Pelodiscus sinensis: one gene and its partner. The protein of the gene in region 1 interacts with the protein of each later gene in a biochemical or structural test. Links are inferred from orthologs where the notes say so. Each region holds a gene or a part of one and is shown in the gene's direction. Other genes may lie near its edges.

Region 1 (8,437 bases):
GCATGAGAAAGGTGGGGATGGAGCAAGTCGTGTGAGGGCACAGGGGCATGAGAGGAATGGGGGCAGAGAGTGGAGAGGGGGTGGGCATCAGGGAAAAAGAGGGCAAAAGGGGCAGGGGCAGTGAGGGAAGGGGGAGCACCAGGAGGGTGCAGGGCTAAGGGAAGGTGCAGGTGCCAGGGTATTCTGCGGGTGAAGCAGAAGGGCAGACACCTGCAGGGAAGGGACGAGCACCAGAGGCGAGGGGCAGGGCAGGTGTGTAGAGAGAGGTGTTAGAAGAGGGGATGAGGAGGGGTAGCTCACCTGGAGGAGTGGGCACAGGAGGGAGAGAAGGGCTGGTGGAGGGGGAAAGGTCGTAGAAGGGCAGGAGTCAGGCCAGCAAAGGAGAGTGAGGAGTTGGGGGGCAGCAGGCACCAGGGGAGATGATGGAGCAAGGAGAGGAGACATGGCAGCAGACAGAAAAGGTAAAGGTTTAAAAATATTTATTAATAACATGGTATGCTGCCCATGGCCAGTTCGTTTGCGCCCCGCGGTGCAGTTTGGGTTTATGTGGGGATCAACACGTGGCTGGCAAGTGGGAGGCAAAACAAAAAAGTAGTCAGTGTAATGATCTTCTGTTGATGTGTGTTTTAGTAGTTAAATTCTTGGACTGTCATTGCTCATGAAAAGTGCTGTCACATGGGTAGAAATCAGGTAAATGTTGCATTTTATGAATATCAGCAGAGCTGACTTAAATGAGGCCTGTGTGTTGTGTAGTCTTGCCTTAATCTTTGTATTCATGCCTGTCAGTGTGAGAGAAGCTATTTGTATATATTTTCTTGCATATGTAACCACACTTAAGTTGAGGCCCTCAACATGTTCTGTAAGTATCAGTGTAGCCCCTGGGGCTTCCAAAGTTTAGTTGCCCTAGCTCATCCCTGACAAGTTGCCCTACCTCATCCCTCATCAGTCTAACCTGGTCTTAAATATCTCCAGTGATGGAGATGCCGCAATCTCCCTAGGCAATTTATTCCAGTGTTTAACCACCCTGATGGGCAGGAAGTTTTTCCTAATGTCCAACTTAAACCTCCCTTGCTGCAATTTAAGCCCATTGCTTCTCATCCTAACCTCAGAGGCCAAGGAGAACAATTTTTCTTCCTCCTCCTCATGATACTCTTTTAGATACTTGAGAGCTGCTCTCATGTCCCTTTTCGGTCTTCTCTTTTCCAAGGTAAACACAGCCAATTCCTTCAGCCTTGCCTCATAGGTCATGTTCTCTAGAACTTTCATCATTTGTGTTGATCTTCTCTGGACTTTCTCCAGTTTCTCCATGTTTCCTGAAATGTGGCGCCCAGAACTGAACATGATACTTCAGCTGGGGCCTAATGTAGATGGCTCAGTCCCTGCCTAGGGGACATGAGACTGGGCGGGTTAATTTCCAACCTCCTGTTTATTCTTTTCCTAAGCCAGGAGGCTTAGTTCTGATGGGGGCTCTGCAGGAAGGCAGCCTGCACTGATCCCTGCCTGAAACCTTGTGCAGGTGTTAAACAGCTGTCCAGCCCACCCTAGAGGTGACTGCATTTCAGCGTGCCTGAAGCAACACAGCACCAGCAGTGGACAGGAGAATGGCTCCCGGGCATGGCTTGCTCATGACTGCTTCGGTCCCATTGGATGGGCCTCAGCCTCTTTTCTTCCCCTCCCCTGCTTTGCAATGGGGCTGTAGACTCTGGGGGGAGAGGGGTGGAGGCAGGCAGAGGTGTCTCCCTGCAGCAGATGTAGACATGTCTCTGTATTAATCATTCTCTCATTGAAGTGTTTAGCTTTGTAGTGAGTCCTTTTACATATAAACTTTGTATTACGTCTTGGTAGAATAGTCCCTAGGACTAGTGAGGCAGAGACTGTCCCTGTGGGGTGAATGAGGTGGGAATGTAGAAGGCGGAAGGTGAGCACCTCTGGGCAGTTGCAAAGGTTGGAGAGGGGATGGAAGCCAGATCCGAGATCAATGAGCCCTGGGAAGTGGGCCCATTGAAAGGAGACTGGACCTGTGGATGCTTTGAGGGTCAGTAGCAAGGGCCTGCTTTGGGAAGCCCCCTCTTTGGAGGTGAATGTGGCAGCATTGAGACATCACCCAGAAGCAGGCGCCACAGACACTAACTGCAGATTCATGGGACGGCTCTCACAGATCTTGCACATGCATCAGATGATAGATCTGCAGGAGGGGGGGCAGTGGCATAGCGAGGGGGCCGGAGAGGTCAGTTGCCCCTGGGCACCATGCTAGGAAGGCTCCAATTTAATCCCATTCTGCTCCCTCCGTTATCCCTTCAGCTCACGTGCTCCTACTCTGCCTGCCACCGGCAGCTGGAGCCTCCTGCCTGCCTCGCTGCTCCAAGCCCGACCCCTCTTCCATCTCCACCGGCGGGTTAGTGCATGCGGGAGCCCGGCCCCAAACTGTAGTACAAGTTCCCCTCAGCTGTGCACCAGGTTCGGTGCTGTGCCACATGGCGATGGGGGGGGAGGGAGGGGCGCAAATTTTTCCTTTGCCCCCGGGCGCATAACACCCTCACTACGCCTCTGCACACCTATTTATCTGCAGGCACTGTCAGAAATGCACGAGAAGTTAGTTCAAAATCCAGCCCATCTGTTTTAGGTCCGAGTTTTTGTTTCCTTTTGGTTTTAGCATAGGAAGTTTCCACCTGTTAGGTTCCTTGTCAAATAGATGACAATGTGTGAACATGTTAATTGCTGTGAAGCTAAGTAATGAACCCACTGTTGTTGGGCAGGGGCCTCTGACCAGAAGCATCAGCAGGTAAGGGGTTCTTTCCTTTCAGGCGTTCGAATATTTTTCTAAATAGTCAGTAGAGGTCGCCAGTGGTCTATGCAAATCCTGCTAGTTCACTAAATCCACAACTAAATCCTGAAGGCCATTTGCAAAGGACATTTCTGGGTTCACGTACTCTCTTTATTCAATTCCTGAACCAACATATTCCTTTGTATGAGTAGGTTCCTTTGATTCCTACCCTTCCCTATCATTTGCACTGAGAGGGAAATTATCCTAGGCTACCATTTTCAAAGGAGTCTGTCTGAGAGTGTTAGGTGTCCAACTCCCATTAAAATGGGTACCTAACTCCCTTAGGTACAATTGAAATCCCAGCTTTTGTGAGAGGAGGATCCATCACTGCTGGAAAGAAAACCACTGTCTTTTCATGAAGGACCATGAGCCTTCCCTCTGAGCTACCCTAGGGATGGGCAGGCTCATGAGCCTTCATGAGTTTAAAACCTGGAACTGATTGTTTCAGAAACCTGGCAATCTTTAAGCACTGTCGCTGTGTTTGTCCTTCTCTGAAACAGAGATGGAGCAGTTCCCAAGGAGTTGACAATCGAAATGTCTGCTATAGCCAACAACAGGATTTATAGACCCTGCAAACAGCATAGAAAAACAGATGTACTCAGGGGGCTCAGCTGGATGGCTGCATTCAGAGAATGTGGGCAGGTTCCTGAACTCATGGTTTTGGAAAAGAAACATCAGGCTTGCAGCCCATGCTCTGGGAAGAGCAAATAAGCAGCAGTGAGACAAGAGAAATAATCCCCTGCAGGGCTTTCATTGGTACCTCTAAATCAAGTCAGGGAGTAAACCTTGTGTTGCCAGATGCCCAAGGCAAAATTATAGGGAACAATGGGTAGAGTGTGGTAGGATACAGTGGACTTTGTTGGTACATGGTAGACAACATAGATGAGGTTAGCCCCTAAACAGCCATAGAGTATTGTATAGCCAGTTGTAACCAAATGCAAGGTGAAGTTTATGGCTTGTCTACACAGGGAAGTTGTCCTGAAATGAAGTAGAGGGTGAATTTAAAGCATGATAGCTATTCTGGAATAACTCTCTATAGGGGCACTCTTTTTCTTGATATAAAAGTGTGCCTTTCCTGATTTAGCTTAATCTACTTTCAAAGCGGACTAGTTATTTTGGTCATTTTCCCTAGGTAGACAAGTCCTTGGAAAGGGTGTGTAAGATGGGTCAGGTGAGAGATCCAACCCGGGAAGCAACCTGAGGGAGGGTGTGTCTCCTAAATGCATGATGTTGCCAGGACAGAGAGCACAGAGCGAGAACACGTGACCTGAACAACAAACCATCGGGACTGCTTGTGTTTTACTCACAGAAGCTCAAGGTTTTATATAGTTTTGATAGTCTCTAAGGCTATGTCTAGACTACGGAGTTTTTCTGGGATACCACCACATCCAGGGAACACGTCTGCTCTTCCGACATTTTTTTTGGAAGAGCAGACACACTCTTTCGGAAGCCCTGTATTCCACATTTTATGAGGAATAAGGGCTCTTCCAGAAGAGGAGGTTTTCCAAAATTTGACCCCGTGTAGATGGACCTAATTTTGAAAAAGCCTCTTCCGAAAAATCAATCGGAAAAAGGTACGCAAGTTGCAGTGCGCAATTTGTGTACCTTTTTCCGAAAAAAAGCAGCAGTCTAGATGTAGCCTAAGGTGCTACAGGACCACTGGTTGTTTTTAAAGTTACAGACTAACATGGCCACCCCTTTGAGGTGGTGTAATTAGGGCTATGGTGGGCAATCCTGCTTGGTGGGCCTGATACTGTGCAGTGCATCAACATGTCTGCCAGGCCCCCTTTCCTTCCTCTGATCCCTCCCCTTCCCCCTTGGTGTCCCCTTTATTTCCTCCTTCCCCCTCTACCCCATTTCCCTCCTTCCTTCCCCCCTTTCTCCTCCTTCCTTCCTCTCTACCCCATTTCCCTCCTTCCTTCCCCCTTTTTCCTCCTTCCCCCTCTACCCCATTTCCCTCCTTCCTTCCCCCCTTTCTCCTCCTTCCCCCCTACCCCATTTCCCTCCTTCCTTCCCCCCTTTCTCCTCCTTCCCCCTCTACCCCATTTCCCTCCTTCCTTCCCCCCTTTCTCCTCCTCCCCCCTCTGTCTCCCCTTTATTACCCCCTTCCTTTTCCCCCTCTCCTCTCCCCCTATTCCCTCGCCCCGCCCCCTCCAAGCCCCGCCCCCGCCCGCTGCGTGCCCCGCCCCTCGCAGCCTCGCTCGGGCGCTAGCAGGTTCCTGTCATGGCCGCCGTGTGCCGCGGGCTCCTCTCGCCCTGAGCGCGCCGGGAGCGGACCCCCTCGCCCCGCCCGGTGCCGGTGAGAGCCCCGCGGCGACAAGCCGGCAGGAGGCGGCGGCCGGCCGGGGATGTGACCGGCCGGGGGGAGCCGGGGACTCGCAGCCGCCCCCCGGGGTGGGGGGAATCGCCCCCGTCACCCGCCTGACCCGTCAGTGGCCCCGCTTCCCTGGCGGGCTTGTTCCCTGCCCCGCTGGGGCCCCCCCGACCGGGGCTTAATCCCTTCCCCGCCCCCGCCCACGGGACTTTCCCCCTCCTCGGAGTAGGCCTTAACACTCCCCCCCCCCCCCCGCTGTGTGTCCTCTTCCCTCACCGGGGGTGTTGGATCGTCCCTCCCCCCCACCAGAGCGAGCTTCATCCCCTTTGTCTCCTTTTGCTCCTTCTCCTCCACCCCAGACTGGGGTTCGACACCCCCTCCGGGGTTTCTGTCCCTTGTCCTATTGGAATCCTTGGCCCTTGGGGGCCATTCAGGGCCTGTGGGGATTAGGGTTCTTGGCCTCAGACTCTCTTGCCAAGCCTTAGGAGCCAGAGCCGTACTACATAATTCACCAAGTAGGCCTTTTGCAGTGCTAGGCTCCCAGTTGGGATGAAGCCAGCCCCGTCACCCCAACTTGACCTTTTCTGGCTGCTGTGCAGAAACCTTCCTCCTGGAGAGCATCACTGGACTAGCGCCTCTTTCCTGCCACCAGCATCGACTGGACCAAGTAGAATGGCATTTGTATTTTCATGAACAATTAGGAACAAGCCCGGGTTGGCTTCTCTGCCTTATAAGCAGCAAGCTGGTGCAGATGGGTAGTTCATTACTTGTATTGTCACAATGATTGTTATTGTTTCTGCTCCAAAATGATCCCGAAGTGCCCATTCACTTTGTTCAGAGCATTGGAGAGGTAGCAGAAAACTTATCAGAGAAGGCAAACCTATTGGTCTTCAATGATTGCAAGTTCCTCTGAAATATCCCCCTTACTCAAAGGTCATTATGGATCCTCAAAGACTTTGAACTGTTTAATTGGAAATCTAAAATGACTTTGACACAGTTGATTCTCTCTCACTTTAATAATACTTGAAGCCAAATCACTGGCTTTTTGGCCTTTATTAACTAAGTGCTATGCAAAAGAAAAGGAAAAAAAGAAATCCTGACACTGATTGCAATGGGAATGACTATTTCCTGCCCTGGGTGGCCCTATATGTGGTTTTCTTATTGGTAAGATAAAGTAGCTCCCACTTACTCAGTGGAAGACTCATTACAAACAAGAAACTTTGGTAACACTTGTAACTGCTAAATAAATGGAACATCTTATAACAGAGCTTTGCATAAAGGCACCAGAAGAATCTTGTTGCAGTTTCTAAAGTGTTGAAAGAATCTGTGCACCTGACTGAACTCTGCTTAATGTGAGCTGTTTGCTGATGTGATAAACACAACGAACGCACACACCTAAAATATTTTACTTGCAAACTCTCAGCCAACCTGGAAGATCAGGGATCTCAGTCCTTACACTGCTTGTTCTGGGGAAGATTGCCTATTGTTACTTTATGGGGCAGCAGCCTGGAAAAGTTCTTGGGGACCAGAGAAGGCCAAGTCTGCCTGCCCTGCATTTTATCAAAGGAGCAGGGAAGAAAGAATCATCTAGGCATGGAGGCCCACACTGCAATGTCTTCGTGGAACATGGTAGGTGTTTTGATTTGTGGTCCTTTTGCTTTTAGTTAGCATATTAGGATACAATATTAATTTATTAAATTGTATGAAATGGTTTTAAAAAGAAGGGTTTTAGCCTTTGCGTTTTCCCTTTTCTGCTCCCTAAGGTTTCTGGTGACCTCTCTGTATGGTCAGCTATTAAGGATTTTTTTTTGTCATGGTTAGATTGCCATTTCCCAGGTTTGTGAAACCCCAGTGGGATTTCTTGTATAGCTAATAGCAAGGAAAGCAACTTCTTCATAATGTTGCTTAGGACAGATATTTTAAAAATGTTTTTGGTTTTAGGTTTCAAATTTTTGAATCTTTTGAATTTTTTTAGTAAAGGATTTGGATGATTTGACTCTAGAATGTCATAATGAACCTTTTTGCATTTATTTGAAGGGCAACTGAAATATATCACACTTCCGTTGAAACACTTGGATTTACTATACTAGTAACACCTTAGATAAAGAGAATTGTTTTGATTTTACATTGTGTAGTTGACAACTTTTGTGGATGCTCAGTTTTTCTGGGCTTCAAGGTAGCCAGTGAGGTCTCAGTCCTTTATTATGACGCTCTTGGAGTGCTAGCTTGTGCAAAGCATCTTGCCGGACTGGAAGCAAGTACCACCACCACCTTACGTTTATGTCAGGGTGACCAGATGTCTTGATTTTATAGGGACAGTCTCTGCATTTGTTTTTTCCCCCCCTTATAGGGACCCTCCCCGTCCCCCCATTGCTTGTCCCAATTTTTCACACTCGCTGTCTAGTCACCCTAGTTTGTGGGGGTCTTGAACCGGTAATGGGGGACAGAGAAATATTATTTTTATCCCTCCCCCCAAAAAGAAAACAAGATAGTGAGCTTTTGTGGCTGGTTAAATGTTTTTTTACTGTACAGTTGATTAGATTTCAAGCTATGTTTTCCCATTAGAAGAGAGAGACAGAAAGAAAAATATGTTGCTGAAATGTTTTTACTAAATCTCTATCCTGCACATTTGAATTCAGAAGATCTTCTGAGACAGCATGGTACTAACTAAGCTAGAAAATATGATTCTGACAATGGTTATTTAGCATTTTTATGCTACTCAGAGTAACTTTGTTCAAGCATGAGACAGATCAATATTTGCCATTTTTGTACTTCAGATAACTCTGAAATATTTGCTTTCTCTGGGAACACAGTTAAATAGCAGGTAAAAAAGTTTCTCAAAATAAATGTGCCCGAGGCTTATTTTGTAAGGACATTTAGTTTGCGAAACTTCTTCACTGTGAATTTCCCAAGGCCACAAGATCCAGAAAATTCAATATCATTTTTAGGATTATTTACAGATAGATGCTGTGGAAATAGTAAGTGTGTTAAAATATTAAAATCATCAATGATTAAAAATGATTTGTATTTCTCCCCTCTTCCCATACAATGTGTCTATGCAGTGATTGTTTGAAAAGTGAACCTAATTCTTGGGAAGCTGGATGATAAAGCTACAACAGCTCTGATATCAGTGGCATGTTCCCATTGCAGAAACACTCCAAACCAAGTACTTTATTTTTTTTAATCAAATACACATATGTGTCCCATCTCTGTTGCCTCTCTGCTTCTCTAGACAGAGCTTCAAGCTCAGATGGCATGGAGCAAGAAACAAAGCACTAAACTGCAAGTAGCACAGTATT
Region 2 (7,963 bases), on another chromosome or scaffold:
TGAAGTGGAGGAGACTTGTATATGACCTATGCTCCACTCGGAGTACAAGGGTTTAAGAAGAAGTCAATTGACCTGCGTTAGCGCCTGTGATTAATGCAGGACAGCATTAACACGTTCTGTTTTTAACATGTTAATCGCAGGTGTTAATGCTGCGCTGCCTCTTGGAAGTGCCATTTTGGTGCTTTAAAGGGGCAGCGTATTAGGAGCCAGGGATCAGCTGATCCCAGGCTCTTAATGTGCTGCCCCTTGGAAAGCTGCGGCACTTCCAAGGGGCAGCCTGCATGGAGCTAGGGGTCAGCTGGGGACTCCAGCTGATCATAGAATTATAGGAGTGGAAGGGACCTCGAGAGGTCATCGAGTCCAGCTCCGTCTACACCATCCCTGACAGATGTCTATCTAACCTGTTCTTAAATATCTCCAGAGAAGGAGATTCCACCACCTCCCTTGGCAATTTATTCCAATATTTGACCATCCTGACAGTTAGGAATGATCCTGGGCTCCATGCAGCACTGCCCCGTTGAAATGCCGTGGCGAGGCCATTTCAAAGGGGAGGCGCATGCAATTAGTTGCTCAATTAATCGTGATTAAATGTTTTAATTGCTTGATAGCCCTATAATTAGAAGATCAAGTAGTACTTTCATAGTACCACATATGTGACACTTTACAAATGAGTGAATGCCTCTGCCTTGAGATATTTGAGCTATGTTGGAATGGCATAATGCAAATAAAAGGTAAGAAGTAAAGGGAAGAAGATTGTTCTCTACTTAAGATTCACCCTATTTTCCCCCCTCCCCTGCCCAATTTTATACCACTATTGACTTATGGGGGGGTGGCTCATGAAATACTGACTTTTAAAACCCGAATGTGTGTGTATACATACTGTATCAATCTTAGGCTGTGCTCTCCGGTATTTTACTATTGAATATGTAACAGGCTGTACCCCTTTAAAATCTTCTCAATCCTCTCTATGGATGGCTATTACTGTAGCTCATGTCCACACGCCTGGTAGTTTGCCAGTACTAAAAGACAGATTCAATAAACATCTTAATGGAAAGCATGAAGACTTTGTAGATACTTCTAACAATGCTATCCTGATTAGGCAATACTTTGTCTGGTAGGACAATTTCCCATAAGTGTCTACAGTGACACCATGCCATTACATTTTGTTCTAATAGCTTTCTTGTCCTTGTTGATTAGGAGCAGATGAATGCCATAAAGATCTTGGTCATTCTAAGATATGCACCACTGATATGTAGATATTCCTATTTAACTGCAACCATGCCTTGATATTCTTATTACAGGAAAATTGTTATATAAATCATGAATAAAGTGGCTGTGGCCCCTTACCAGATGTGTCTAACTGAAGGTTCCTTTTAGTTGACTTGTGTGTTAGATCTTTTCAAGTATGCTAAAAGGACAGCAGGGGTGAGATGGGGGGGAAAGCAATCAAATTGGGACAAATTAGAGTGGTATTACTATGATCCTGCATGCCAGGACACAATGTCACTCATTCAAATTTGGCCTAGCCATTCCTCCATGCCAGCAGGCAAAGGGCTGGGCCAGGCTTTATTTTACCCAGGCTCATTGGTTAACCATTCACACAGTTACACTTTCACATTCATATTGGATAGTAGTAGTTACTAGTTATTTGAGAGGTTTCATTTCCTCTGGGAAAATCTTCCACTGTGTACATCCAGTTCAATAGGGTTTAAAGGTTGCCTTTTGTATAGAGAGGAATCGGGAAATCAAGCTGCAGCTATTAATGATGAAGTGCTCTCTTTGTCCTGCTTTGGAGCCAGACCAAGACACTATTTTGATCTCAGTGCGGCATTTGCATATAAGAGGGAAAGCTTCAGTGATTTCATCTAAAGATCTTAGATGAGCTCCCCTCTTAAAAAATCCACCTCCCAGCGACTTCACCCTCCAAGCAGGACAGCAAACTCAGAGACTTGGTCCTTGAGGCTCAGTATCCAAAGTGAAGGGCTCCCTTCAGTACCAGTGAGTCAGGAAAGTACTGCAGCTTTTCTAAGCCTTCTGAGAAGGCTCCAGTACCATCTACCAGAAATGGTCAGCATCAACATAGAAGACTGGTACCATTGAGCTTACCCCTTTTTTTTGGTACCTTATCAGAGAAAAACTGCTGAGAAGTAGGGTAAATGCCTCTTGAGTTGGTGGCTATTCTCCCACAAGACGTAGCAATCCAACAACGACAGTAAACTTTTGTTTTACCACACAAGCTAACAAGTAGTCAGAAAAGCAGCTTCCTCAGTCCTTGTATCACCACTAAACTTAATGAGTGGCTATTTAAACTAGGGCTGTCAATGTGTAGTTGATTACATGACTAACTGATAAGACTAGGCTTATTAATTCTATTGACTACATGTATTTCCCCTCTCTTCTCCTCCCCCCATGCATACACTAGCTCCCTCTGTCAGAAGCAGCAAGGGAGGGGGAGATGAGAGCCAGTGCCTGTGGGAATCCAGCTTTTAAGCTGATTCCACGTGAGCACTAGATCCTATGGAGCCTTCTCCCCTACAGTGTTGCTTCTGCTAGAGAGGCAGCAGTGCAAAATGGCAAGGGGCTGAATCTGCAAAGGTCTCAAGCTCCCCATGGACCCAGGCTGCACTGGCATCCCACAGAGCAGCCTCTGTCCGCAGCAAGCTTGGTCCTGCCTCAACCAGAGGCTGCTCTGCGGCAGCAATACCTGTCTGCGGGAGGCTCAAACTCCCTGAGGACAGAGGCTGCGGCCCCTGCCACCAGGGACTATCAAATAATTGTGTAACTGCTAAATTTAGATATCATCCCTAATTTAAATCCAAACAGATAGGCTTGCCCCCTCCTCAGGTCCATGGCTGCTCCAGCCTGCTCTGCTGACTATCTTCCACAGCTGGGTAGCTATGCTTCACTACAGCAGTGCAGTGGAATGCAGCAGCTGGGGGATGGGGGATGGAGCAGAGGAGGCTCCCACAGCCACCTGAGGGCAGGGGTGGGAAGCAGACCCCTGCTGCTGCCCTGTGCCTTGCCTCCTACACAATCCCCTGGGCCTAGGGTGGCCACTCCAACCTGTCTTATGGATGAGATAGCTCTGGCTACTGGTCCTAATACATGAATTATATTGGCATACAGGGTAACCTGGGCAAGGTAGAAGGGTAGCACCAAGCTCTTGGAAGGGGTGGGGTGTCTCAGGTAGAATGGCACTGCCTGCGGCACTCCTCCCTTCCTTTCTCCTCCCCCCCCATCACTGCTTGTAGTGTGCTGCTTCTGCCTCATTAGGTAGCCCTAAGAGCCACCCAGAGGGCCATGGCAGTGCTCCAGTGGAAATTTTAAATGGCTTGGGGGGGGCTGAACCCCTTTAAATCACCTGGGAGCAACTGCTCCCTTTACATACACTGACACATATGCATCATATTAGTACCATAATCATACTCAGCAAACGATAACTTTTCTATTGACATCTTACTTGATACTTCATATAAGATTTGTTGAAATTATATAACAGTAGTAGCAACAATGATCTACCTGGTCATGTTTCAATCAATATATCACAAAAGACACTTTCTAGTGGCAGTTCATGGAAACTACAGCAGTTTTGACAGCTACCCAATAAATCAATTATTCTTGAATTCACATGATCCCAATTAGTAAATCTGTTCTAATCAAACATGTAGACTTAAAAATTATAAATGCATTAAAAACAGGCTGTTATATTAGAAATGCTGAGATGTGATTGCTGAATTCTACTAACAACTATTAATATCTTCAATGATTATTTGCTATCAAATATAAATAGCATGACATTTCTCTTGAGAATGCCAAAGAAAGGCAAATGCAAAGTGCCAAGTGCAATAAAAATACCATTAAAATAAATAATGTAAAGGCGTGAAATCAAGTCTGGGATGGATTACAAGGGCAAGGCCGTCCTCTTCGGGCAAGCCAAAAAACAATTCACAAATTTGTTAGTTGCTATGAGGCTTTATGCAGACACATGAACTCATAAGTTATTCTTTCAACTGCTACAGCCATGAATGACGACTGTATCATTTGGGGGGAGGGGGGTTGTGTGTGTGTGTGTGTGTGCGCGCGCGCGCGAGAGCGAGCGAGCAATATGTCACTGAAGCGAGTCTTCAGCAGCTCAATACATCCTTAAACCAGGGAAGAGCTGCTCTGGCTAGGCATGGAGGTGCAGCACCACTGCTTAAAACACAGAGCCCTGGATGCTGCGATGCACAGTCTCATCAGGGGCTGTAGGAGCTCTGCTGCAAGCAGGAACTAGGAGTGTGGGGGGCTTCAGCACCTATAGCTGCAGGGCTACACTTTGATTCAATAGCTCTTAGAACCAGCACCCCCGAGTGCAGAGGACTCACCCCAGGTGGGGTCACTGCATCCTCCTGCCCCAGGCTGGAATACATCGCCCTCTGTCCCTAGCTTGGCACAGCTCCTTCCTCTGCCCCTCTTGTGCTTGGCCCCGCCAGACTTCCACCTCTTCGGCCTGCCCTCGCCAGGCCCGGGGAACAGGAGTCAGATGGAATCCCCAGAGACTGGGCAGCAGCTTCAACAGATGTTACTGAGCACGCGCAGCTCTCACGCGCATGCTCAGGAACACCAACTTCCGGGCAGCCCGAAGACAAGGCAGCGCCAGGAAGCGGCGGGGCGACGCGCACGCGTCACGTGACGGACTGGCGGGCTTTTCCGAATCTGCCAGCGGCCGGGGAACGCCAACGGACCGGGGCGAGGAGCCGGCGCCGCGGCGGGGTGAGTGCGGGGCGGCCTCGCCGCCAGGACAGGGGCAGCGCCCCGAGCCCGAGGGGCCTGGGCAGGGCTCGCCCGTCCAGCGCGGTCCGGGCGGTACCGGGGAAGCTGCGCGGCCTCAGGGCCCGGCCCACAGGCCGGTATCACCCCGGGCCGCGCTGGGCGAGCCAGGGCCGCGCTGCCTCCAGTCTCCGCCGCGCTCAGCCTCGCCCGGGCAACCCACTAGCTTCAAAGCTGCGTACGGTCATCCAGGGCTGCGTCTGGGCCCTGCCTGTCCGTTGCTTTTGATGACCCCTCGTTGCTGAACCAAAAATACGAACATTGCACCCGGTCCTGTGCCAGCTCCTGAAAGCGTCACGGGAGACAAGTCAACAAAGGTCTGTGCTCAACACAGAGCCCAACTCAACATGCAGCTAAGTCCTAGGAACTACAAATGGTACTAGGAGAGGAGAGGGCAGATGGGGAATCTTGTCATAGAAATCAGTGATACAGCTGCTTCTGGACTGTCTTGTGCAGTTGCAAACCTTCTGAGAAAAGGGTAATACAGACTTGGAAGGGGTTCAGAAGGTGATCAAAGGTTTGGGGAAAGAATCTCACAAGGGGAGAGATTGTAATTAGACTGGCAGTCATTGCTAATGGATGTCATTGAGGGCAAGAATTTAGCAGGATTAAAAAAAGGGCTTGGAGATCCATATGGGTACATCTGAATGTCCCAAGTTGTCAAACTTTATTATAAACAATTTGGAAGCGATAGTAAAGCTTATGCTTCAGAGACTTAAGACCATCTCCAAATATTAAAGTCCAGGATAAGGCCTGATGGGAACAGATTGCCACATTTTTCTGCAGTGAGATTCTTTCACCTTCTGTGAAGCACCTGTATTAGTCACTCTTGGAGATAGAATACTGCAGTATGTGGTCTTTATCTCTCATCCCATATGTCAGTTATTATGTTCCTTCACATAGATCTCTTTGGTTTCAGAGCCTCCTGGACTTTTAAAAGCAAGGGGTGAAAGTAACTTAGAACTGCACTGGTGAGAAATTTATCACAACCTGTCCTGTGTCCCCCCCCCACCCCCCCGTGGGGGGGGCCTTGAAGCGGTGGGGAGGGTTTGAGATACAACAGTACTTGTAAGAAATTTAAGTGTGGAGTGGAGTGTAGGGATGTGAATGGGAACCTGGTAAGCATCACCATTACTAGGTGATGCTTACCAGGTAATAGTTAACTGGTTCCTCTGGGAGCAGCCCCCCATCCTCAGCCTGCCACAGGCATGGGGGCTGGGAGCCAGCAGAGCCAGAGCCAGCCCCCACCCTAGCATGGGAGCCAGGAGACAGCAGAGCCAGTCCTTTCTCCAGCGCAGGGTCTGGGAGCCAGTAGAGCCAGCCTAGCCTCAGTGTAGGAGCTTGCAGAGACAGAGGGGATGGAGACGTGAGGGCTGGAGTAGTGAGGTATCCTGCTAGTCAGCTAACTGATTAACCATTAGGTTAACCTAACATTTAACTGGTTACCTGAGTAACCTAGATTTTACATCCTTAGTTGGGGGGGTTCAGGGCTTGGGTATACAGGGAGTGCAGGAGTTATGGTGTGGGGATGCAGGAGTCAGCATTGGGTTGTATGAGGGGCTCAGGGCAGGGAACTCTGAATGGGGGATGCAGGAGCCAGGTTTGGTAGGTATGAGGAGGGATCAGGGCAGGGGGTATGAGAGAGGTCTCAGTGCTGAGGGTTATGGTGTGGGAAGTCTGGGCAGGGTGTTAGGATTGGGGCGGGGGCTGCTCAGACTAATGATGTAAAATCCCAATTAATCAGTTAACTGGATTAGATTAACCTAATGTTTAACCAGTTTACCAACTAAAAAGAATCCTGGCCGGTGGACTGCTCCAGTCTGGCTGGAACAGCGTGCTGTCAGCAGCAGGCCTCGGGCTTGGGCTCCTGGGGCCAGAGCAGCCAGTGCTAGGGCTGGTACAAGAACTAGTGGTCTCTTGTAGAAGAGAGGCATGTTTGAGCAGTGGCACCCCTTTTTTGTATTTTCTCTTAGGGGAAGTTGTATCTAATACTTGGTGCAATGGCCATGCAAATGCAATATGAAGCAAATGCAGAGACATCAACTGAGGAAGAAAGCTTTGGTCCACAGCCCATATCAAGGCTAGAGGTATGTAATAAGTAGGGATGTGACAGTCTAAATGCTTAAATGGTTAACTAAGAAGCCCAGGTTCATCGATTAACCTGGCTGACTACATGCAACCCACCTTCTTCCCCCCCATGCTGTGGCCTCTGTATCACAGGCAGCAGCACAGGGTGAGGGCAAGTCTTTGTGGAGAGCTGGCTTTTAAGCAGACTCCCTGTGAGCACTGGGCTCTTAGGGAGCCACCTGCCCCACCATCTTGCTGGCTGTGATGGTGGGGGGATAAGGATGGAGTGAGGGGAGGCAGCTCGGTGGGAGCCAGCTTAAAAGCCTGCTCCCTGTGTGCATAGGCTCCCACAGAGCTGCCTTCCCTCTCAGGTGTAAACGTGCATGTAAAATTTCAGCTGTTATGCGGTTATTAAAAAACCCATTTTTTAACATCCCTAGTAATGAGTGACTAGCTCTGGACCTCTTTGCCAAACAAACCAACAGTCTTTATATTTAACTAGAAGTTGCATTTAAAAGTTGTCACTGACTCTGCCTGTTTGATGTTTGTCAAAGAAGAAAAATCTTATCCAGAAATGTGTATTAAAAATATGAAAGATTAACTTCAGGAATGCATTAATACAAAACACTGTGTTCAGTTACCACTTTGATAATATACTGATACTCCAGGTTTTGTAATAAATGCATTGAAACTTGGGATGTGAATGACTAGTTGACTATCCAATAAGCAAATGCTTGTCAACTAGTCGCTTCCCCCGCTTGCTGCCTCTTCCAAGTGGCAGTGCTGCGTGGAGCCCGGGGTCAGCTGGCGACTCTCCCGCTGACCCTGGGCTCCACAGGGCACTGCTGCTTTGAAACACCATGGGGAACCAAATAAAATTGTACCTGAATCAACATAAAATTAACATGCCAAATATTCTGTTGGAGCAGGATGGACTAGTTTTCCTGAACCTGTATTGCTCCTTCTTCGATAGCTAATGAGTCAAATGGAGCATAGTGCCTTTTTCATGACACGTGGTATCTTTAACACTGATACTAAAACATGCAAGAGAAGCAGGCATTTCAGCTGTTTTATTTGCAATCAGATG

The links. The genes of interacting proteins can lie anywhere in the genome.
Region 2: the proteins of ABL1 (region 1) and RAD51 form a complex in vitro, tested with the Homo sapiens proteins (2 studies listed by BioGRID). The link is inferred for Pelodiscus sinensis from reciprocal best matches to the Homo sapiens genes ABL1 and RAD51.

Annotation. Positions count from the first base shown.
Region 1 is NC_134732.1:13,784,722-13,793,158, forward strand, and holds the start of ABL1 (tyrosine-protein kinase ABL1), read left to right. Parts: upstream 1-5,021; 5' UTR 5,022-6,631; coding exon 6,632-6,767; intron 6,768-8,200; exon of another isoform or gene 8,201-8,273; coding exon of another isoform or gene 8,274-8,304; intron 8,305-8,437. UniProt on the Homo sapiens protein: Non-receptor tyrosine-protein kinase that plays a role in many key processes linked to cell growth and survival such as cytoskeleton remodeling in response to extracellular stimuli, cell motility and adhesion, receptor endocytosis, autophagy, DNA damage response and apoptosis.
Region 2 is NC_134714.1:63,239,939-63,247,901, forward strand, and holds the start of RAD51 (DNA repair protein RAD51 homolog 1), read left to right. Parts: upstream 1-4,610; 5' UTR 4,611-4,752; intron 4,753-4,908; exon of another isoform or gene 4,909-5,126; intron 5,127-5,728; exon of another isoform or gene 5,729-5,780; intron 5,781-6,782; 5' UTR 6,783-6,809; coding exon 6,810-6,896; intron 6,897-7,963.